Linked DNA regions of Oryctolagus cuniculus. The protein of the gene in region 1 interacts with the protein of each later gene in a biochemical or structural test. Links are inferred from orthologs where the notes say so. Each region holds a gene or a part of one and is shown in the gene's direction. Other genes may lie near its edges. The genes, in order: AURKB, CENPA, KLHL13, RACGAP1, KLHL9 and CDCA8.

Region 1 (4,186 bases):
AGGCATTAAATACTACTGTTAGCTGTCTCCAGATTTCTCAGAGGGCGCTAGCCTGGAGGCGTATGTATCTCCTTGCTTCTACTACGCTGAAAGTAAACAACAGAAAAACAAAGAAATGCAGCCCGGCCGCCCAGCGCCCAGCGAGCCTGGCCCTCCTTTTCTTGCCATCTCTTTCCTTGACTGATAGTGCCTTTGCTGGTGAGGCAGGCTTGGGTGGCTGGCAAGGAATGTGTCCTACCTCCCCGCCGTCCACACGGCACCCGCTGTCCAGGCTGGAACCTGGGCCTTGCCCTCCGCTCCCCTCCGCTCCGTCGCCCCTGGCCCTCCTCCTGCCAGAGTGGTCCCAATGTCTAGGGCGTCCTATAGAGCGAGACGGAGGCGGACAGGAGAGGGTGTGAGGCTAGCCCCCGACACGCCCGCTGCCCTCGCTGCCCATCCAAACTCGAGCCCCTGACTTGCGTTAGTTATTCTATAAGAAGACGCAAAGAGGCAATCCGTCTTCTCGCCTACATGTCTCTCTCTCTCACACACACACACCCATAACAAAATAGGAAGAAGTGCACATGAGAATCACACTCATTATTTCCGCAGCTGGTCACAAGGTCGTAGCTGGTATCTATAACCACCTTCCCGCTACCCCTTCCATATTACCCTCTAATTTCAGCAAACACCTCCTTCGCTGGTCGCCCCGAGCCTTTGCCCCTGGAGGGTCTCAGCCACCGCCATTTTGCATTCGTGAGTGTCGGTTAACACCTTAACTCAGGCCTGAAGTCCCACAGCATCCTGGTGGGAGCCGCGGCCCCATGCAGGAACCCGGCTTGCTGCTCCTCCTGGACTACCCTACCTACTGCCAAGCCTGCCCCGCACGGGGACAGCGGGCCTCTGGCTGCCGCCAGTGTAGACGCGAGGCACCGAACGCCTGCCTTGCTCACCAGGCTCACCACTTCCACCCGTCACTCAGCCCGTGGCAGGCAGGAGAGGACACTCGGCCCAGGCCACAGTCGCCGTTTCTTCCTGGCTAGCGCCTGCAGCTACTCGATGCACCTTTGTTCGGGTTTGAAGACCCGGTCCCCCCGCACGGGGACCCAAGGCCCGCGTTTAAATCCCGCTGGGAACCGGGGCAGCTCGCTTCACCCACGGTGCCGGCATCGGCGGCCCGGAAGGAAACGAACTTCGATCCTGGCTCACACAGTCTCCGTTTATATTAAAAATTCACACTTTTAAAAACGAAGAGAAAGCAAAAACTCCTCTCCCCGGGTCACCGGGGGAACTTTTCCCAAACCGGAACGGAGTCGGCGGCGGCTCGCCTTCCGCGGTTCCCATTGGGTCCCCTTGGCTACGTCATAGGTGAGAGATCCAATGAGAATTGGGCGAGGGTGGCGCCGGCAGCCAATGGGGCCAGAGCGGGAGATTTGAAAGCGCCTCGGCGGAGGCGCTGCCCGGCAGGTTCGGTAGTTCCCGGCGGCCTCAGGTGAGCCGGCCTCCGTTCGCGGGCCTCGGCCCGGTGCGGCCAGGGGCTCAGGCGGATCGCGGGGCTCCTGAGCGCTCAGGGGTGGAGAGAGAGGGTCCTGGAAGGGGGCTGGGCGGGTCCCGGCGCCGGGGCTGCGGGACGAGCGTCCGGGGTGTGGCCAGCCCTCTCGCCAGCCCGGACGGCGCTTCTGGCTGGATCCATCCGATCCCACCGCTGGTTTTTTTTTTTTTTTTTTTTTTTTTAATTCCCCTTTCTGCTTCTCAGGACTCTTTCCCTTCTCCGCCCAGGCGCCCTCCCCGCTACCCCGTGAGGATGGCCCAGAAGGAGAACGCCTACCCCTGGCCCTACAGCCGACCCACGGTAAGGCCACCCCGCCCCGCGGGACGCGCTGGACCACCCCCTCGGCACCGCCTGCCCCCTTATGCCCTAAGCGTGTTTTGTTCCACTTGGCCATGCGTCGATCACTGTTGGGAAGCAGGTTTTCAGGGCCCCCGGAGCCGCCTCCTTCCGGCTGAACTTGTGCCGTCTATTGGTGAGGCTTTGGTTCTGGTCTGGTGGTGGAGGGTCCATGTCTCCCCTGTGCGCCGGCTGCCTCCCTCGCGGAGCACTGAGCGAGGCCATTAAGAGCGGGTCTGAATGAGCCGCCATTGTCACTGCCAAAAGGAAGAAGTCTGTCCTGAAGTGGCATTGGCTGCCTCCCTGGCCTCATCTAAGCTCTAATCGGCTGAGCTTGCCAGTGTGCTGACGCTGTGGGGTTGGTTGACCAGGCCCTCACCTGGCCCCTGGTGTGAGGGTTGGGGGAGCCGGTGCGGTGTCATGGACAGGACTACACAGACTAGACAGTCATGCCTGAGACGGTGGCACAGGCCAGGGCCAAGGAGGTGAAATGTTAGGTGTTGGGGAGGAGTCCCCTGTTTTTGGCCCACTTGGGTTATTATTATTATTTTTTAAGGATTTATTTATTTATTTGAAAGATACAGAGAGAGAGAGTTCTTCCATCCGCTGGTTCACTCCTCAAATGCTCGTGACAGGCAGAGCTGGGCCAGGCCGGAGCCAGGAGCTTCCTCTGGGTCTCCCACACCGGTGCAGGGGCCCAAGCACTTGGGCCATCCTCCACTGCTTTCCCAGATGTATGAGTAGGGAGCTGGATGGGAAGTGGAGGGCCCATATGGGATGCTGGCACTGCAGGTGGCTTTACCCGCTGCACCAGTGCCGCCCCCTGCCCCACCTCTAGGCAGAGTGGACAGTAAGAGAGAGAGAGAGAGACAGAGAGAAAGGTCTTCCTTTTGCCTTTGGTTCACCCTCCAATGGCCGCCACGGCCGGCACGCTGTGGCCGGTGCACCGCGCTGATCCGAAGCCAGGAGCCAGGTGCTTCTCCTGGTCTCCCGTGGGGTGCAGGGCCCAAGCACTTGGGCCATCCTCCACTGCACTCCCTGGCCACAGCAGAGAGCTGGCCTGGAAGAGGCGCAACCGGGACAGAATCCGGCGCCCTGACCGGGACTAGAACCTGGTGTGCCGGCGCCGCAGGCAGAGGATTAATAACCCATTTTAACATGAGACTCTGAACAGAGTCTTGGGGCTGGAGGCCAAAACTGTCGTATCAGGGTTTTTCTCAGCACTGGGGGTGGACAGCACGTGGGAAGCTGTTTAGGCAGGAGCAGAAAAGCTGCTCGCGGCACATTCCAGCCGGGTCCCTGGGACAAAGGCGCCCTGGCGCTCCGCCTTCTCCTCCTTAGCCTCAGTCTGGCCTGAACACTCTGCCTCAGAGAATCCTGCGGAAGGAGGCTGCCACCCCCTCTGCCCTTGTCCTCATGAACCGCTCCAACGCCCCGCCCACAGGCAAGTGGCCCAGGAGGGAAAGCAGGGACTGGGGAGCTGGAGTCTACGGGACGGGTAGGGAGGATGTCCCAGCAGGGTCTCACCTCTCCCGCTCTCTCCTTAGCTGTCCTTGGGCAGAAGGGGATGGAGAACAGCAGTGGGGCACCCAACTTCACGTGAGTGCTCCCAGCCTGGAGGTGGCCAGCGGGAAGGGACGGCCTGGGACCGGCAGAAGTGGGGGAGCCGCGGTGGAGGTGGGGGGGCTGAGGGAGTGGGGAGAAAGCAGACTCCTGGGCTGCCCGGCAGGCCGGCGCTGAGCTGTGTCCCCCACTTGCTGAGCAGGCGGCCCTTCACCATCGACGACTTCGAGATCGGCCGTCCTCTGGGCAAAGGCAAATTTGGAAACGTGTACTTGGCCCGGGAGAAGAAGAGCCATTTCATCGTGGCACTCAAGGTCCTCTTCAAGTCTCAGATCGAGAAAGAGGGTGTGGAGCACCAGCTGCGCAGGGAGATCGAGATCCAGGCGCACCTGCAGTACGCCCCCGCCCCGGGAGTCCAGACTGTGGCCCCTGAGAGCTGGGTCCAGTTCCCCAGCCTGGGCCCTATCATCTTCCCTTTATGCCCGGATGTGGCCTGAGGCCTCCTGTCTCCTGCTGCAGGCATCCCAACATTCTGCGTCTCTACAACTATTTCTACGACCGGAGGAGAATCTACCTGATCCTGGAGTACGCCCCGCGCGGCGAGCTGTACAAGGAGCTGCAGAAAAGCCGCACTTTTGACGAGCAGCGAACAGCCACGGTCGGGGCGGGTGGGCACCTGGGACCCCGGCTGGGGGCTTGAGGCTGGGGGCACGCTGCCTGTGGCCGCGGGGCTGTCCTTGTCTGACTGCCTGTCCC
Region 2 (3,817 bases), on another chromosome or scaffold:
TCCATCCACCCCTCTGCAGCTCTCCGCACACGGCGCCAGAGGGTCTTATTTTTATTTTTTAAGATTTTATTTATTTATTTGAGGGGTAGAGCTACAGACAGAGAGAGGGAGAGACAGAGAAAGAGGTCTTCCTTCTGCTGATTCACTCCCCAAATGGCCGCAATGGCCGGAGCTGCGCCTATCTAAAGCCAGGAGCCCGGAGCTGCTTCCAGGTCTCCCACATGGGTGCAGGGGCCCAAGGACTTGGGCCATCTTCTACTGCTTTCCCAGGCCACAGAAGAGAGCTGGATTGGAAGAGGAGCAGCCGGGACTAGAACCGGCGCCCATATGGGATGCCAGCACTGCAGGCAGAGGATTAACCTACTGCACCTCAGTGCCAGCCCCTGAGAGGATCTTTAACCCGGAAGTAGATCAGCTTTTCCTCTCTCTTCCTGAACACTTTCCCTGGCTTCCGGTCACTTTAGGATTAAATCCCAGCTCCTTATGTTGGCGTTTCAAGACCCAGCTGCTGCATGTTCTGATTTGTGAAATTCATTTGAAAGACAGAGCTGTCATCCACTGGTTCACTCCCCAAATACCTGCAAGGGCGGGGGCTGGGCCAGGTCGAAGCCAGGAGCAGGAAACTTAATCCAGACCTCCCTCATGGGTGGCAGGGACCTACCCCTTGAGCCATCACCCACTGCCTTCCAGGGTGCCAGGCTCAGGTGCGGAGCTGGGACTTGAACCCCAGCACTGTGGTGTGGCAGTGCTCTCCACACACAGCTGACTGCATCTCTGATCCCGGCTCTTCCCCGTGAGCTTTCCCTGGTCGCTTCTCACGTATTCGCATCACGGATTTCCTGTCTCGCCCCTCTGAGGTCATCGCCTGTATTTAAGGGCTCTCCTTTCTCTGCTACCTCAGATTCCTCCGGAGTGGTTTTTCTGTTGAGTTGGGTTCCTTCCGCTCGCGGTGTCCTTTCTCAGATCGTGTGGTGACCTTTCGTCGTGTCCCTCTTCACCTTGTGTGACGCCGGGCCTTGTGTGTGAAGGCTGCTGATGGGCGGTGGAGACGAGGCGGGGTCAGCCTGTGCGTCCTCCCTGTTCCTGACCCCACCCGGGTCAGCTGCCTGGCTCAAGCCCCTCTGGTGGCCTCCCCTCCCCCACCTTCTCAATGCTCTGTGTGTGCTCCCCCACCCCGCTTTCCCCTGCTGACCCCGCGCACACCTCTGCAGGCGCGGCCTCGCAGCACAGACGGCGGCGGCACGCGTGGCTGAAGGAGATGCGCAAGCTACAGAAGAGCACGGACCTGCTGCTGAGGAAGCTGCCGTTCGCCCGCGTGGTGAGCTCAGGGCGCCCCGGCCCGGCGTGGCCCCTGTCCCTCACCTTCTCCCCCTGCGGGGGCCCTTGGTCTGGACCCACACCACCTTCGCTTCTCCACAGCTCCCCCACACCTTTGAAGCTGTCTTACTCTTTGTAACAGTTGTGTGTATGGGCACTGTGAGAGCTCGGGTCCACGCCTGTGTGTTAGGGTGGAGTCAGGGTTCCATCTCCTGGGGCAGGTCTCGCTTCTTTGTGTTGGGAACCTCGGGTCTTAGCGTCTGAAACTGTCTTTGAGTATGGAAAACGGAGCGCTGTCACCCATCCCTCGTGCTTTGGTCCCTTTTGCTGCCCTGGGGGAGTGCAGCAGGCCGACTCCTGTGCCCCAGAGGCAGCCCTGCTCCGCCCCAGGCACGTCCTGAGGTTGAGGGCCAGGAAGGACCAGTGGATTCCCTGGAGACTCTTGGAGAGAGCCCAGCTCTCCGAGCCTCTCGTCTGTTACTGCCTACTCCCCCATCCCCACTCCTCCACAGGCCAGAGAAATCAGCACCAGATTCACTCGGGGTGTGGACTTCAGCTGGCAAGCCCAGGCCCTGTTGGCCCTCCAGGAGGTGAGAGGGGGCCTGGGTGCAGCTGGGGGAAGGCCGGGTGGGAGGGACTAGCGTCCTGGATCCTGGTACTTGGCCGCAGACTCGCAGGCCGCAGCTGGCCGGGATCCCGAGCAGGGCAGCCGGGTCCCCCCGAGCAGTGGGGGGCTGCAGAATTCCCAGGCAGAGCCCAGTCTCCTGCACCGTCCTCCCTAACGTGCTTCGGGCGCTGGAGACGGAGGTCAGCGGGTCCCCAAGGAAAAGCAGCCGTGCCCCCACGTCTGCCATGTCCCCTCTGCCCCCTCCTGCCCCCAGGCGGCAGAAGCGTTCCTGGTTCACCTCTTTGAGGACGCCTATCTCCTCTCCTTGCACGCCGGCCGGGTCACCCTTTTCCCAAAGGATGTGCAGCTGGCCAGGAGGATCCGAGGCATCCAGGAGGGGCTTGGCTGAGCACCGGGCCGGAGTCTCCGCCAGCCTTCCTGTGCCCGGGCGCGGCACCCCGCTCTCAGCGCCGGGAGGGCTGTCCTTGGAGGAGCTGCCTTCTCTGTGCCCAGCCCCTTGTCATCTCAGCGTTCCTGGTGCTCACGAGACTGCCTGGGGGTGTGTGGGTCACACCTTCCCGTGCAGCGTTGAATAAAGATACTTTGCTACCACGTGACGAGCCAACGGCCACACCTGTAGCAGCGCTAAGCCTCTCCGTTTCACAAGGACCCGTGGCTTCGTTTTGATGAAGAGAGATTTTTTTGCTTCTGAAAATGCCTTGTTAGGAAAAGCGATTCCTGCGTGTCAGGGATGATGGCTGGGACGGCTTTGGTGCCCATGCGTAGTAGACCCGGGCATATCGGAGGGCCGCCTGGGCCGTGCTGTTGCAGAGCTGGGGTCCGGCTGGGGTCGGTTCTTTCCAGGAGAGGGTGGCCTGGCTGGCTGTGTAGTGGGCATCGGCACGGCTCCCGGCGCCTGGACGTCGTGTCGGCAGAGGTTCCAGGGCCTTCAGCTCGTGACCCGCACATCCGACCGATGAAGCTCCTGAAGACCTCAGCTGCGCACGGGCAGGAGGGGATCCTGGCTCGTTCCTGTGCCGTGCGTTTTTCACCCCGTGTGTGTTTAATCCGCTGCTGAGAACGTGAGAGGAAGCCCGAGAAGCGCCTGAATCAGCTGCGTGGGAAAGCCCAGCCTTCCCGGCCCGCAAGCCTGCGCCCCTCAGACGGGGCTGAACATTGGTGTTCTGGTTCCTTCCAGTCCTTCCCATCAAAATCGCTCGGAAGTTCTGACTTCCAGGATTCAGCATTTTCTTATTATTTGTAAACCACAGAAGTTGAATCTTATCAATCCATGATTTTAAAGTGCTTTTCCAGTGTTTTTATGGGTGTTTTTTAAGCTTACAGCTTCTTTGCAGAGAGATAATAAAAATAATTCTGTAATGAAAAAGTTAAAGCCAAGTTACTGTTTCCAGCAGGGCAACTATGCTGTTTTCTGTAATTTAAACTCTGCATTTCCGCACTGTGTACAGGCATCCATCGTTTCAACAAGGGGACTGAAGGGTGAGATTTGCCCCCAGTGAAGCAGAGGTGAACAAAGAAACCTTGGCCTTCTGCACGGCTGAGAGCATGGGAGGTTTCTGGAGAAATGGGGTCTGCTGTGGCGAAAATGCGGAGTGCGTGGGGCTGGCTGATGAGGACACCGTGTCAGACTGGAGGGAGGCACCAGGTCTCACTGTAATCACTTCTAGCCTTTTGGAAAAGCCTCTTCCTTTGGTGTGATGTCGTACCCGTGCTGGTGTGCCATACCCGTGTTGGCATGACATCATATGTGCTGGCATGACACTCATACTGGTGACGTCACACATGCTGGCATGACACACCTGTGCTGGTGTGATGTCACACCCATGCTGGCATGATGTCACACCCATGCTGGCATGGCATGCCCATGCTGGC
Region 3 (3,500 bases), on another chromosome or scaffold:
ATCCAAGAACAAACGAGTGGACCTATGTTGCCAAAATGAGTGAGCCCCACTATGGCCATGCTGGAACTGTATATGGAGGAGTGATGTATATTTCAGGTAAATAATTGCCATGTGGACACACACACAAAAAATGTGAGCTTTTAGCTCTATGATCTTTTTTACATCAAAATGTTAATGTTTATTTTAGAAGGCATTTTGTGTGTTAATTTTCCTGTGAATAAGCATTCTGTAAGTTCACAAGACCAGCAGCCAACCATTCCTGCTATAAATTGTATAACTTAGAAGAAACTAAAAAGTGTTCAGATTCTCTAATTTGCTTTCCATTCCATTACTCTGTATTATAACAAATACCATTCATGTGTTCTCTATTGCAATGATGTTTTTTATTTAAAATGCAGCTAACCCATGTGAGGAAATAAATCATCATATAACATAATGCCTAAAGTATGCTCCCAAATGATAACACATGATGTCTATTCTCTTTTAGCATAACTCATAACATGTATGTGTTTCCTTTCTTGCTAGAATTATAATGGGATTCTAATTCCGTGGTATTTATCTGTATTTTTGGTACATGTAGATATGTTTCTATTATAAAATTCTATGATGGTTGAGGTTTATTTCCACTGTCCTAGAAACAACTTTCATTCTCAAATTGTTGGTGTTCAAATAACCCTTCCATAGAATTCAGAAAGAAGTCTTTACTTGATCACCTCTGGTGTTGATATTTATTTGTAAGGCAGTTTCTTATCATTTGGCCCTGACACAGTCTACTTGTGAAAGTTATGTTCCCTAATTGGAGGCCTGCCAGTGGCAGACCAACAGTTAGATTATTGGAGAACAAGGGTGTTAAGGTGATGTTTGTGGTCTGATTCTTTGAATGCTGCCTTATGTAATCAAGAAGGATCAGTGATAGGCCTGTGGCATGTGATTAGCAGGTTTCTGGTATCAATGCATGAGCAACTATGGGATATTTAATATTGAAATAGCCATCCCAGAAACCACAGGCTCCACTAGTCAATGATTTACACCATTTCCCTATTTTATATGTGTAGCTACTATACCATTATAATGAGAGCTACAAATCCTCTGGGGGGCGGGGGGAAATGACACCAGAATTGTTTTATTGATGCTTTGGCATAATTGGTATATATTGCGCAAATGATATTCCTGACCATGAATAGAATAGGAAAAACTGCTGATTTTCCAACAATGAGTACTGTTTCACTTTCTGGGAATTCTATAAATCAGAATTAAAAATTCAGAATAAAAAGTGTTTAAAGAGCAGAAGTAAATAGTGATTGCTATCTAGACACTCTATAATATAGATTAAAATGATTTGGTTAAACATTATCTCAGTTCTTTCCCTTGTCTGTAGAAGATACAGTCTGATACTAACATTAAAAACATTATGTATATATTTTTGAAAGGTAGAGTGACAGAGTGCATGCACATGCTTCCAGCCACTGGTGTATTCTCCAGATGGCTGCACAAGTCAGGGCTGCTCCAGGCTAAAGCCAGGACCCCCATTCAGGTCTCCCACATGGGTAGCAGGGGCTATCTTCTATTGATTTCCCAGGCGCATTACTAGGAATCTGGATCAGAAGCAGAGCATCCAGGACTTGACCCAGCACTCTTCTATGGGATGCTGGTGTTGCAAGTGGAAATGTAACCCACTGTACCACAGTGTCAGCCCTGATGCTTTCATTTTAGAGGCCAATTTATATGTGATCCAAGAATACACTTAGCAGATGATATGAATGTAACAGATCAAAAATAAATTTCTGCATGTATGAAATTTCACATATATTGAGCATTATAATTTTTACCTTTTTAATTGTTCTGACACAGATGATATTACCCTTCCTCACCCAACCCACCAAAACCTCCCTAAGAATAAACAGTTCAGAGCATTTTATAACCTTATTTGTTTAAAGAGATCTTTTCAAAGCATTTCCATAAGTATCTGACCTGAACATCACACTAACGGCATAACAAGAAGCAGATATTCTTATTTGGCAAGTTGAGGAAATGGGCAATTGGAATTTAATGTACTCTGGCCCATTACTTGGTACCCAGAGAGTACTCACTAAAATATAGCAAGGAGTGAGTGTTGCTTTGTAGTTGGGATTTATCACAGACCCAATAGTGGCCAAACTGTATCTTCAGTTCAGTAAAGCCTCTTAAATACCATGGGGTCTCCCAATAGTACAAGCAATTTTTTATCCTTTAATAAGATGAAAATATAATTTCCAGGAAAATTATTTATAGAGTTTAGACATTTTAAGAACACTGTTGATGTTTCTTAATGTGTTGCTAAAAATTGATTATGACGGTGAGCCATTACTTACTTCTGCCTTTTTAACATAATCCCTTATGCTTATTCTTTTCATTCTTTAGGAGGAATTACTCATGATACTTTCCAAAAGGAGCTCATGTGCTTTGACCCTGATACTGACAAATGGATCCAGAAGGCGCCAATGACCACTGTGCGAGGTCTGCATTGTATGTGTACAGTGGGAGAAAGGCTCTATGTCATTGGCGGCAATCACTTCAGAGGAACCAGTGATTACGATGATGTCCTAAGCTGTGAATACTATTCACCTATCCTTGATCAGTGGACCCCAATTGCTGCCATGTTAAGAGGGCAGAGTGATGTTGGGGTCGCTGTCTTTGAAAATAAAATATATGTGGTTGGTGGGTACTCTTGGAATAACCGTTGTATGGTAGAGATAGTGCAGAAATATGATCCCGATAAAGATGAATGGCATAAGGTTTTTGATCTCCCAGAGTCCCTGGGTGGCATTCGAGCTTGCACACTTACAGTTTTTCCACCTGAGGAAACCACACCATCACCTTCTAGAGAGTCTCCTCTTTCTGCACCTTAAGATCATTCGTACAACTAAGATGCTGTAGTCCTATCTTTGCAATGTGTCACGAGTTCTCTTCTTTTTCTCCCCTTTAGTAGTATATATGTTAGGATTAGCCTCCAGTAATTGATACAGCTATTGGAAAAAAGATGACTTTGATGTTCTTTGTGCTGTTTGTTTGGCTTAGAATGTTTATAAAGTGGTAACAAAACCATTCTGGCAATGTTTCCCATAGAAGCTGATGTTTAACATATGAAAAAAAAAAGGTATTGTCTATAAAAATGTTTCTTCAGTACTTTTTAAATGCTGTGTACTGGGTGTAACGTATTTGTCATCTTACATTATTAAGCCCAATAAGCCAAGTTGAAGGTGGATGATAGAAAATGTACAACTGTGTTCACTAGACTTCAAAGTAAACAGTTTTCCTTTCATCTTTGACTGTGAGATGTCAAAGGGAGGCAGGCTGCTCCAACAGGAAACCATACACAAAGGTTGCCAATTCGCATGAGCAACCTCCCTCTTTTCATAAAGTATTTTTGACATAACTGTCAACCCACCTAACTGTGTGGGTGCATTGAGAACATATGAAGTTTCTTAGACACACAGGAGAAATGACTGGAATTCTCCAAT
Region 4 (3,500 bases), on another chromosome or scaffold:
GAACTGGTGCCCATGTGGGATGCTGCACCATAGGTGGCAGCTTTACCCACTATGCTACAGTGCCTGCCCTGGCAGTAGGAATTTAAAAGTAGACATGTTGTCCCATCCTGAGGGTTAGTGGAGGTAGTTCTTCACACGTGGTTTTTCAGTGGTAACTTGAAGCTCCTTTCACAGGGAATGCTGGCTGATTTTGTGTCCCAGACCTCTCCGATGATCCCTTCCATCATTGTCCACTGTGTAAATGAGATCGAGCAGAGAGGGCTGACTGAGGTAAGAATCGTCCTGACGACGGAATGAAATTGCTATTTGTGTCAAGCAATTACGTGGTTCTTAAGTAAAAGTGTCGTCTTTATACTAGACAGGACTGTATCGGGTCTCGGGCTGTGACAGGACCGTGAAGGAGCTGAAGGAGAAATTTCTCCGGGTGAAGACTGTCCCCCTGCTCAGCAAAGTGGATGACATTCATGCTGTCTGCAGCCTTCTGAAAGACTTCCTTCGAAACCTCAAAGAACCTCTTCTGACTTTTCGGCTAAACAAAGCTTTCATGGAAGCCGCAGGTATGGGCAGATCTTAATATTTGAATGTGAATTCCAGCAAGGCAGAATAAATTTCCATTTTTTTTTTCTTTACTGCTTTATCCACTACCCAATACAGTGCCTGCAAAGGGTAGGCACCCACAGGTTTGGTGGATGAATAGCTGCATGTGTATGTCCCCCATGCCTGATTGCTGTCTTTCTACACCATATAGGATAGTAATAGGTTTTCTCTCGCTCTGGTTTTTTGGGTCAAGTTTCAGGTTTGTCCTTTTGATGTTAAATCCATCTTTGATTCCTTTTCTTCTCATTCCACACCCAATCCCTTGTCAAGTCTCATCTGCAGGGGTGGGCACTTGCCCAGTGGTGAAGATGCCCCCGCCCCTAATCAAGTGCCTCAGTTGGAGGCCTTGCCCTGCTCAGATTGCAGCTTCCTGCTAACGCGACACCCTGGGAGGCTCATGTAATTGAGCAGCTAACTGATTGTTCTACTTCTGCCATTCCCTCTCCAGGATGATCTTCATAAGGAGCTAGAATGGCCCTTTTTACAATTAAATCCTCCAGAGACTTCCCATCATTATCAGAATAAAGTCCATGCCCCCCCCCCATAGTTGGAAACTTCCCAAGTGGTTTTTTTTTTTTTTCTTCTTTAATTTGAGAGGTAGAGTTACAGACAGAGAGAGGGAGAGACAGAGAGAAAGGTCTTCATCTGCTGGTTCACTCCCCAAATGGCCACAGTGGCCAGAGCTGGGCCAATCCGAAGCCAGGATCCAGGAGTCTTCCAGGTCTTTCACTGCTTTTGCAGGCCATAGCAATGAGCCAGAGGAGAAGCCAGAACTCGAACTGGTGCCCATATGGGATGCTTGGTGTCTCAGGTGGAAGCTTAGCCCATCATACCACAGAGCAGCCCCCCATACCCCAAGTCTTTTTATTTCAGGATTTACTTATTTTTTTGAAAGACAAAGAGGGGAAGAGATAACAGAGGGAGATCTGTCTGCTGCTTCACTCAAGGACCCTACATGAGGGGCTGGCATTGTGGTGCAGTCCCAGCTGCTCTGCTTCACAGGCAGCTCCCTGCTAATGTGCCTGGGAAAGCAGAGGAGGATGGCCCAAGTCCTTGGGCCCCTGCCACCCATGTGGGAGACCTGGATGGAGCCCCAGGCTCCTGGCTTCAGCCTTGATCAGCCCTGTCCATTGTGGCCATTTGAGGAGTGAACCAGTGGATGGAGGAACTCTGTCTGTATCTCTCTCTCTCATTCTCTCTCTCTGTCCCTTTCAAATAAATCCTAAATAAAAATAACTAAGTCTTAAAAAAGATCGAATGTGATTTGGCTTCTGGTTATCATTTTGTTCCCACCCCCTTTTCTTCTTTCCTTCCCCCGCAGTGGAATCTTGAGTTCCTTACTGCCCACCTCGAGGCCGTCACATTTGTTGTTGCCCAGCCTGCATTACTGCTACCCTAGACGTCTTCGTGATATCTCCTTCATTTCTTTCAGGCTTCTCTTCCCTGACCACCTTGTCTAAAGTAACAGTTCCCATTGCATTACAGCTTTAGTCTGCTCTGTTTTCTTTATTGTACGTATTACTACTTGATACCTATTTGTTCTTTGAATGTGTATTTGAAAGGCAGAGAGAGAGTGAGTGAGCTCCCAGGCACTGGTTCACTCCCCAAAAGCCTACATCTGGAAGCTGGGATAAAAGCTGGGAGCTGGGTACACAATCCGGGTCTCAGCTTGTGGATGGCAGGACACATATATTTAAGCCATCACCTGTGGACTCCCAGGATGTCCACTATCAGCAAGCTGAAATCTGAGCAGATCCAGGACTCAAACACTTTAATATGGAATGCAGGCATCCCACATGGCATCTTAGCTGGTAGCCAAACACCTGTCCCTGTGTTTCTTTGTCAACCAAATCCTCCAATAGAATAAACAGTCTACAAGGCAGGGGCTGTGTTTCCTTCTGCTGTATCATTGGTCCTTAGAAGAGTGCTGGGTGCACAGTAGACCCTTAGATATGTTTTATGAAGGAACACCTTGATAACTGTAGTTAGTTACTGCAGCTGTATCTACCTCCCAAACACATGGGTTGCCAGCTGTTTTTCCTAACAGCAAGGGCCTATTTTTAAAAAGTTCTGACTCGTAATATTGAGCTGTTGGCCAGTATCCTGCTTGCTAATGAAAGTAGAGTCTGATGTAGTCATGAACCTAATCAGAAGTTCCAGAAGCTTACTGTATAGAAGGGACTTTGTGGTCGATAACTCGGAAGCCCGCTGTCAAGGGAAAGAAGTTTAGGCCTCTCGGTGCTTTCTTTTCATTTATAGAAATCACAGATGAAGACAACAGCATAGCCGCCATGTACCAGGCTGTCGGTGAACTGCCCCAGGCCAACAGGGACACATTAGCTTTCCTCATGATTCACTTGCAGAGGTGAGTGCAGCAGAGACTTGCTCTGGGAGTTGGGGAATTTTTCAAGGGGAAGATAATGCGAGTTGGGTCTTAGGGAGTGTGAAAGGCGAATTGTTTTCTTGTACAATTTATATTTTGGTCTGCATTTAAGTAGAGGAGAAAGTCTTCTAATTTAAACTCTTTTGCTTAGAGTGGCTCAGAGTCCAAACACTAAAATGGATGTTGCCAATCTGGCTAAAGTCTTTGGACCTACAATAGTTGCCCATGCTGTGCCCAATCCAGACCCGGTAACAATGTTACAAGACATCAAGCGTCAGCCCAAGGTAAGTGTGTGTGCATGGGTGCCCACCTGTGGGCTCCTGCTCACTCCAGAACTTGTTTGTAGCATAAGAGAATGGTGAGAAGTAAGCTCTGTTTTGGAAGTTGGCTGACGTATGTGTTGGCTTTTAGGTAGTAGAGCGCCTGCTTTCACTGCCCGTGGAGTATTGGAGTCAGTTCATGATGGTGGAGCAGGAGAACGTCGACCCCCTGCATGTCATTGAAAACTCCAATGCCTTTT
Region 5 (4,123 bases), on another chromosome or scaffold:
AGAAATACACTGTCGTGACAGTATTTCTGAAATATGGACTTAAATCAATATTCTACCAAACATAACCCAAAACAGGGTGAGTTTCTATTAAGTTGATTTTAGTTTCTATAGGACAAGAGAGGCTAAGAATGTATATATCCAGGTAAAAATAATGGTCAAAGAAACTATGTTATGTAACTAGTGGAAAATTGTGCATTTAAAATGTGAGTGGTAATCAAAAGCTTGAAAAAAAATTATGATGGCATTGCATTGTTAAGCCAGAAATGATGAATATACTAGGTTTTTACTATTCGTATGGTCACATTTTACTAGCGACAAATACTATGTTTCCAACGATAAAAATTTCAAATATGAACCCAAATCATTGAAGTGTCTGTTAAATTATACCGGGTAAAATTTATGAAGTGTTTTATAGAGAAAGATCATTTAAGCATCCTCCCCCTACGGTTACTTTGCCAGGCGGCCTCTCAATTTATACAAAAATCGTTCTTATTTCATTGTTAGAAGCGGCCAGCGAGCCTACACCTTAAAGAAGAATCCAGACTCATCTACACCAAATGCGCGTGTAACTTACGGGTACTCCTTCCGGCCTACCCAGCCTCACGCACACGGAGACTCCCCCGCGCCCCGCTACCACCCACCTGCGACCGCTCGGCTTCTCCAACCCCCGCACGCCCCGCCCATCCCGCTCTTCCTCCCCCTCCCGGACACGTCGGCAAGCCCGCCCACCAATCAGGGCAGACGGCTGCGCAGGCGCAGTAGTTCCCACGGACGCTCCTAGCCCGGGGGATCCTGGGACTAGGCCTTTCCGGAAGGATCGGCTCGGCGTCAGTGGCTAATTCTGTGTTCCCGGCCCAGGCCCAAGGCCAGGCGGTGTTCCAGGCCCTTGCTGCAAAACTGGCCGGTGGCCGCGGCGACGGTCGAGTGACAGCGGAAGGCGCAGGCGGCCGCCCGCGGAGGAGCCCGGTCGCGCCGCAGAGTGAGCGGCGGAGCCTCAGTACGTGGCGGCACCTCCCCCTCGGCTGCGAGCGGAACTGCTGAAGGAGCGGCAGCGCAGGCCAGACGAGGTGAACCGGGTCATTTAACTGCCTTAAGGTGATGAATCGCCAGCCTAATAATTAGATTTGAGGTCCACCGCCGTTTGTGGCCCTGCCGCTGGAGAGTTTCCAGTGGACGACTGACTGGTGTGTCCTGAGGGGCGCCACGGTGACTGCTCGTCCTTGCTAGGGGAAGTGAGCTCTGTGGACATCTCTGTTTCCTGAAAAACATTCGGGTTATAATTGCTTTCTTCGGCATACATCTGTACAAGAGGGAGGCTTTCACATGAAAGTGTCTCTCGGTAACGGCGAAATGGGCGTCTCTGCCCATCTGCAACCTTGCAAGACGGGAACCACACGGTTTTTTACCAGCAATACTCACAGTTCGGTGGTACTGCAAGGCTTTGATCAGCTTAGAATAGAAGGTTTGCTTTGTGATGTGACCCTGGTACCGGGCGATGGAGATGAAATCTTCCCTGTTCACAGAGCGATGATGGCTTCTGCTAGTGATTATTTCAAGGCTATGTTCACAGGTGGAATGAAAGAGCAAGATTTAATGTGCATTAAGCTTCATGGGGTGAACAAGGTTGGTCTGAAGAAAATCATTGATTTTATTTATACTGCAAAACTTTCTCTTAACATGGACAATCTTCAGGACACTCTTGAAGCTGCTAGCTTCTTACAAATCTTACCCGTTTTGGATTTCTGTAAAGTATTTCTTATATCAGGAGTCTCTTTGGATAACTGCGTTGAGGTTGGACGAATTGCTAACACCTACAATCTAATAGAAGTGGATAAATATGTTAATAATTTCATCTTGAAGAACTTCCCTGCTTTACTGAGTACTGGAGAGTTTCTAAAACTCCCTTTTGAACGGCTTGCCTTTGTGCTTTCCAGTAATAGTCTAAAGCACTGTACTGAACTTGAACTATTCAAGGCTGCCTGTCGATGGCTAAGGTTGGAAGATCCTCGGATGGATTATGCTGCAAAATTAATGAAGAATATTCGATTTCCACTGATGACACCACAGGACCTCATCAATTATGTGCAGACCGTGGATTTCATGAGAACAGACAATACCTGTGTGAACTTGCTTTTGGAAGCTAGCAACTACCAAATGATGCCATATATGCAGCCAGTGATGCAGTCTGACAGAACTGCCATTCGGTCTGACTCTACGCACTTGGTTACCTTAGGGGGAGTGTTGAGGCAACAGCTGGTTGTCAGTAAAGAATTAAGGATGTATGATGAAAGAGCACAAGAGTGGAGATCTTTAGCCCCCATGGATGCTCCTCGTTACCAGCATGGCATTGCTGTCATTGGAAACTTCCTTTATGTGGTTGGTGGTCAAAGTAATTATGATACAAAAGGAAAAACTGCTGTCGATACAGTTTTTAGATTTGATCCTCGATATAATAAATGGATGCAAGTTGCATCATTAAATGAAAAGCGCACTTTCTTCCACTTGAGTGCTCTCAAAGGACATTTGTATGCAGTTGGAGGGCGCAGTGCAGCTGGTGAACTGGCCACAGTAGAATGTTACAACCCACGAATGAATGAGTGGAGCTATGTTGCAAAAATGAGTGAACCCCATTATGGCCATGCTGGAACAGTGTATGGAGGCTTAATGTATATTTCAGGAGGAATTACCCATGACACTTTCCAAAATGAGCTCATGTGTTTTGACCCGGATACAGACAAATGGACACAGAAGGCCCCAATGACTACAGTCAGAGGATTGCATTGCATGTGTACAGTTGGAGATAAGCTCTATGTCATCGGTGGCAATCACTTCAGAGGAACAAGTGATTATGATGATGTTCTAAGCTGTGAATACTATTCACCAACGCTTGACCAGTGGACACCAATTGCTGCCATGTTAAGAGGTCAAAGTGATGTTGGAGTTGCTGTCTTTGAAAATAAAATCTACGTTGTTGGTGGATATTCTTGGAATAATCGTTGTATGGTAGAAATTGTCCAGAAATATGATCCAGAAAAAGATGAGTGGCATAAAGTTTTTGACCTTCCAGAGTCACTCGGTGGCATCCGAGCTTGTACCCTCACGGTTTTTCCCCCTGAAGAAAACCCTGGATCACCTTCTAGAGAGTCGCCACTCTCAGCACCTTCAGATCATTCTTAGATCTAAGGTGTTATATCTTGGCAGTTCTTCATGGATGATCTCCTATTTCCCCTTCAGTTGTATCTTCTTCACAATGGTTGGTAGTTGTGAGATAAAAAGGTAACATTATTTGTCTTGTTTGGCTTTGTTTATCAGGTGGCTAACAAATGCATTCTGAAAGTGTATTCAACATAGCTGTTTTAACAAATGAAAGGAGATATGCAGAACAATGTTTAAATTAGATGTCTCTTTGTGGTGTTATTAAGTCAAATTGTAGGTGACTGTAGTAAATGTAATTGTGTGCATTATCCTTCAAAATTTTCATCTTTGAAAAACATCAAGGGGAGGTCTGCTGTAACCTAAAATAATAAATGAAAAGTCACCAATTATTAGCTACCTCCCTCTTTTCAGAGTTTTTCACACATGTCAACTCATTTGGTTTTGTGGTTGCATATGGAGTATGTGAAGTTTCTTAGGTCTTAGGCAGATAGGAGAAATAACAAAAATATTAACCAGAGAAACCAGTTTAGCCCTAAGTCAGCATTTGGTTTCTCTCCCTGGAGACAGTGGAAGGGTGAAAGAAAATATATGCATAATAAGACAAATAGGTACACACATATATAATTTTAAAATTAATTGGACTGTTTTAACCATAGTGACATTGTTCTTAAATTTGAATTGTTTCCATTAATCAGCTATTTAAGTGGGAATTCAGTATCAGAGAATAAATATCTGTATAGTCATACTGAATTTAGATAAGGGCTACAACATTCTAAATTGACAACTGTATTTGTCATTTGACTATAAATTGTTACTTCAGATGAAACTTACATTTTTCTGCTTGTATATTTTCTTTAGAGTTGCTCTTATACATGTTATTTAGCAAAGTTCAGAATTCATAGAATTTGCTTTTTCCCAATAAATTTAGGCTCTGCTATTTTCTACCTTTTCAGTAAGGCTTAGGATA
Region 6 (3,448 bases), on another chromosome or scaffold:
GTTGACTTTTGTTAGATGTATGTTTGGTAATTACACCCTCCTTTCTCCAGCTGTGTTTAGTCATTACTGCTTTAAAAAAAAATGTTTTCCCTAAATTTAGAACTCGCCTTCTTAGAAACATGTGATTTTGAAAACTTCAGCTTGAGACCAGATGGGGGTTGGAAGGGCTCCCTGTGCCTGGTGTCATTCAATCTGCCAGGCTGACTTCACAGACTTTCCCACTCTGCAGAGTCTTCAAGACCCCAGGCCTGCGCACTCCAGCAGCCAGAGAGCAGATCTACAACATCTCTGTGAATGGCAGCCCCCTGGCCGACAGCAAAGAGATCTCCCTCACTGTGCCCGTGGGCGGCGGCGCGGTACAGTATTTCTTGGGAAGCCAGGCCGCGGTGTGCTGCTTCGTGGAGCGCCTGCCTTCCCTGGGCCCTCACTCACTTCTCTCATCAGGGGTCTGCTAGTTATGTGGGTCCTGAGCTCCACACTCCTGCAGGACTCAGAACCTGGTTTTCTTTCCCAAGTCAGGGGCCCAGGCTGGGAGGATCCCTGACCATCGCTGGCTTCTGTTTGCCCACCTGACTGTAGCAAGCCTGAGGGCCATGGCTCTTGTCATTGCAAAGCAGTTCAGGAGTCAGATGGGTTGGCAAGCATAGTATCTGTAGTAGCTGCACTAACGGGGATTTGTTTTTGTTTTTAAGACTCATTTATTTGATGGGCAGAGTGACAGAGAGAGACAGAGATAGATCTTTCATGCGTTGGTTCACTCCTCAAATGACTGCAATAGCCATTCTGGGCAAGGCTAAAGGCAGGAGTCTTGAACTCCAGCTGGGTCTCTCACGTGGGTGGTAGGGGTCCAAGCACTTGGGCCATCTTCGCTGCTTTCCCAGGTGCATTAGCAGGGAGCTGGATCAGAAGCAGAGCAGCCAGGACTTGAAGTGGCGCTCCAGTGTGGGGTGTCAGTGCCGCAGGCAGCAGCTTAACCCACTGTGCCACAGCGCCAGCCCCAGCTCACGGGGCTGCTGAAGGGTGCAGAGGAGGCCACTGCTGAGGAGTGCACTTCGTCTAGAAAGGCCACTGCTCCATCTCAGCCACTCCCTGCCAGCAAGTGCAGGATGTCACAGAGACGCCGGGGCACACCACGGGGATGCTGGGTGAGGTCCCTGCCCTGAGGGACCTGCCAGTGTAACCCATTCTCCTCCCTTACAGAGCGTGCGGTTATTGGCCAGTGACTTGCAGAGGGTCGACATTGCACAGCTGGACCCAGAGGCCTTGGGAAACATTAAGAAGCTCTCTGTAAGTCTCAAGTTCATCTCCACACGTAGTATGTCTCCAGTAGCTTTCTAGGGGCAGCTCTCCCTGGGGTCGGGGCTAATACTTAGAATCCTGCTGCCTTCTTTGCCTCAAGGGGTTTTTCAACTGTGACCCTGCTGACACTGCAGCAGTTCTGTCCAGGTGAGGCTGAGTTTGGTGCCTGCCCTTGGCATTTCTCCAGCACACCTTTGCCGCCTCTGTGCGTGTGACTTTTTCCGCAGGGAACTTGGTTCTACTCCCTCAACAGTGATTTGCACCTGGCTTTGGGGAACCACACCTCCAGCTCTAACTCTGTCACTCTTTGGAGAACCACACCTCCAGCTCTAACTCTATCACTCCAGTGTCCAGCACTGTTTGGCTTGCTGTCTGGACATAAGTTCTCAAGAGAGGATTGAATTGACTCAGCTTGACTCAGATAAACATCCCAGGTCCAGTCAGCTATGGTCTTGGGAGGCAAATGGGAGTGCTTAGAACATGCATGACTGCCACAGGCCCACCCTTCTGTGGGGTCTGCGAGGGGTACGTCCACGGAGGGGGACAAGGGCAGAGCTGGCTTCCCAAACCCCAGCCCGGTGCCAAGGTCCCACGCATACCCAGCTGCCCAGCTCTTGCAGCAGTCATCCTGTAGCCGGGCCCAGGGCATCGCTGTTCCCAGGTGTGCCTTCCTGATCTCATCTGAGCTGTTGCTCTCCTCCTTTGTGCAGGCGAGAAGCTGAGTTGCAGAAAGGCCCATTCATGTGTGGCACAAACAGAGAAGAGGGGCTGAGACTCACTCAGACCGAGTGGCTTTTAGCCCGAGTGCCAAGTGCTTGTGTTTGAAGTGACCCATCTGCTTTGCTTTTAGAGCCGTCTCGCCCAAATCTGCAGCAGCATCCGGACCCACAAATGAGAAGGCGGCAGAGCCGGACCGGGCGTAGCGCGACCACTGCGGCAGGACTCGGAGGTCTCCCCTCTTCCTCCCCCTCCCGTGGGGGCACTGCGTGGGCCCGCAGCACCTCTCACGTCCTGTGCCCAGTCGTTCTTTTCAGGATGACTTGTGGAACAGTTTTTGTGTTTATCCTGTTTATCGAAGACCAAAAATTGGCTTGGAGGCAGCTTCCATGTCTTGCACGTCTACCTCTCCAGTTAGTTGGAACGTGGACAAAGGGACTGTAGACTTAGCATCTAGGCTAAATCTACATGTGTGACTGGCCGCAGAGTAACTGTCCCTAAGCTCTCTGAGGCCCAGTGGTCGCTGCAGGGTGGATGGACTCTGCAGAAAGCACTTCTCTCGTAGGGGGCTCCTGGGGGTGGGGGGCACGTGTGACTTGTGTGGTGGCCTTGTTCCGCATGTTTAGTCTGTGCCCTGGACACAGGTGAATTCTGCCCCAAACTGTCCTGGGCTGGGTTCCCAGGATTTGGGAGCCAGGGTTCTCCCACAGGCTTGGAAGCACAGTTTCCCCTGGGAATGGTTTCTGTTATTTTAGGACATGATCAATCTAGTGATGCAGCCCTGTGCAAGTCGAATCGTTTTTAAGTTGCTTGTTCTCCTTTTCCTGAGACTTCTGTACACACTGTTTTCCTGAGTGATGGTATCTTGATGGTTTTAATCAGAGCTTCTGAAAGGTACCTGCTTTCAATAAATTCTGGTTTGGTTTTTTTAATCACTCATCAGCCTGCCTGCCATCTTGCAGCTGTGCTACCTGGACTGGAGTGAGAGTCTGGGGACAGCTGCTGTCCTCAGGAGCTGAGGCAGCATCTCTTATATCTGAACGGGGACTCACGCCAAGTTCCAGTAACCTCAGCCCCTAAGCCGGTCTCCCAGCACCTCCATCCTGGGGGCTAGAAATGTACACACAGGACAGAAACCAGGACACCACAGTTAACCTGTACAGCGAGGTCTCGGCGGCCAGGAACAAAGCAGGGGCAGGCGTCAGCGATCCTGCTTCTCACTTCCCAGAGTCCCAGGGGCCCTGGCAGAAACTACCTATGTTGAGAACACTCAGCACGGACCTCAAGTGGCAGAGGGCTCTGCCTGAAAGACATCCTGGAGCTGGGACTCAGCCAGGTTGCTGAATACAGTTTGGAGCCCTTCTGGTCAGCCAGCATTTGGAGGAAAGGTTACTGCCTGCAAAGCAGCAGTCCCGCCTACAAGTCCCCACAC

The links.
Region 2: of the proteins of AURKB (region 1) and CENPA, one has a biochemical effect on the other in vitro, tested with the Homo sapiens proteins (3 studies listed by BioGRID). The link is inferred for Oryctolagus cuniculus from reciprocal best matches to the Homo sapiens genes AURKB and CENPA.
Region 3: of the proteins of AURKB (region 1) and KLHL13, one has a biochemical effect on the other in vitro, tested with the Homo sapiens proteins (2 studies listed by BioGRID and IntAct, with this or other methods). The link is inferred for Oryctolagus cuniculus from reciprocal best matches to the Homo sapiens genes AURKB and KLHL13.
Region 4: of the proteins of AURKB (region 1) and RACGAP1, one has a biochemical effect on the other in vitro, tested with the Homo sapiens proteins (2 studies listed by BioGRID and IntAct). The link is inferred for Oryctolagus cuniculus from reciprocal best matches to the Homo sapiens genes AURKB and RACGAP1.
Region 5: the proteins of AURKB (region 1) and KLHL9 form a complex in vitro, tested with the Homo sapiens proteins (2 studies listed by BioGRID and IntAct, with this or other methods). The link is inferred for Oryctolagus cuniculus from reciprocal best matches to the Homo sapiens genes AURKB and KLHL9.
Region 6: the proteins of AURKB (region 1) and CDCA8 form a complex in vitro, tested with the Homo sapiens proteins (3 studies listed by BioGRID, with this or other methods). The link is inferred for Oryctolagus cuniculus from reciprocal best matches to the Homo sapiens genes AURKB and CDCA8.

The regions. Positions count from the first base shown.
Region 1 is NC_091448.1:52,688,683-52,692,868, reverse strand, and holds the start of AURKB (aurora kinase B), read left to right. Parts: upstream 1-1,386; 5' UTR 1,387-1,471; intron 1,472-1,735; exon of another isoform or gene 1,736-1,758; 5' UTR 1,759-1,783; coding exon 1,784-1,831; intron 1,832-3,208; coding exon 3,209-3,311; intron 3,312-3,414; coding exon 3,415-3,466; intron 3,467-3,632; coding exon 3,633-3,824; intron 3,825-3,949; coding exon 3,950-4,088; intron 4,089-4,186. UniProt on the Homo sapiens protein: Serine/threonine-protein kinase component of the chromosomal passenger complex (CPC), a complex that acts as a key regulator of mitosis.
Region 2 is NC_091433.1:176,093,482-176,097,298, reverse strand, and holds the end of CENPA (histone H3-like centromeric protein A), read left to right. Parts: intron 1-1,211; coding exon 1,212-1,318; exon of another isoform or gene 1,319-1,829; coding exon 1,830-1,907; intron 1,908-2,198; coding exon 2,199-2,333; 3' UTR 2,334-3,317; downstream 3,318-3,817. UniProt on the Homo sapiens protein: Histone H3-like nucleosomal protein that is specifically found in centromeric nucleosomes. Replaces conventional H3 in the nucleosome core of centromeric chromatin that serves as an assembly site for the inner kinetochore.
Region 3 is NC_091453.1:75,280,473-75,283,972, forward strand, and holds part of KLHL13 (kelch-like protein 13), read left to right. Parts: coding exon 1-96; intron 97-2,400; coding exon 2,401-2,888; 3' UTR 2,889-3,500. UniProt on the Homo sapiens protein: Substrate-specific adapter of a BCR (BTB-CUL3-RBX1) E3 ubiquitin-protein ligase complex required for mitotic progression and cytokinesis.
Region 4 is NC_091442.1:53,334,963-53,338,462, reverse strand, and holds part of RACGAP1 (rac GTPase-activating protein 1), read left to right. Parts: intron 1-174; coding exon 175-270; intron 271-358; coding exon 359-557; intron 558-2,856; coding exon 2,857-2,962; intron 2,963-3,131; coding exon 3,132-3,264; intron 3,265-3,391; coding exon 3,392-3,500.
Region 5 is NC_091432.1:184,421,224-184,425,346, forward strand, and holds the start of KLHL9 (kelch-like protein 9), read left to right. Parts: upstream 1-1,323; coding exon 1,324-3,177; 3' UTR 3,178-4,123.
Region 6 is NC_091438.1:135,068,874-135,072,321, reverse strand, and holds the end of CDCA8 (borealin), read left to right. Parts: intron 1-229; coding exon 230-356; intron 357-1,200; coding exon 1,201-1,287; intron 1,288-2,149; coding exon 2,150-2,194; 3' UTR 2,195-2,948; downstream 2,949-3,448.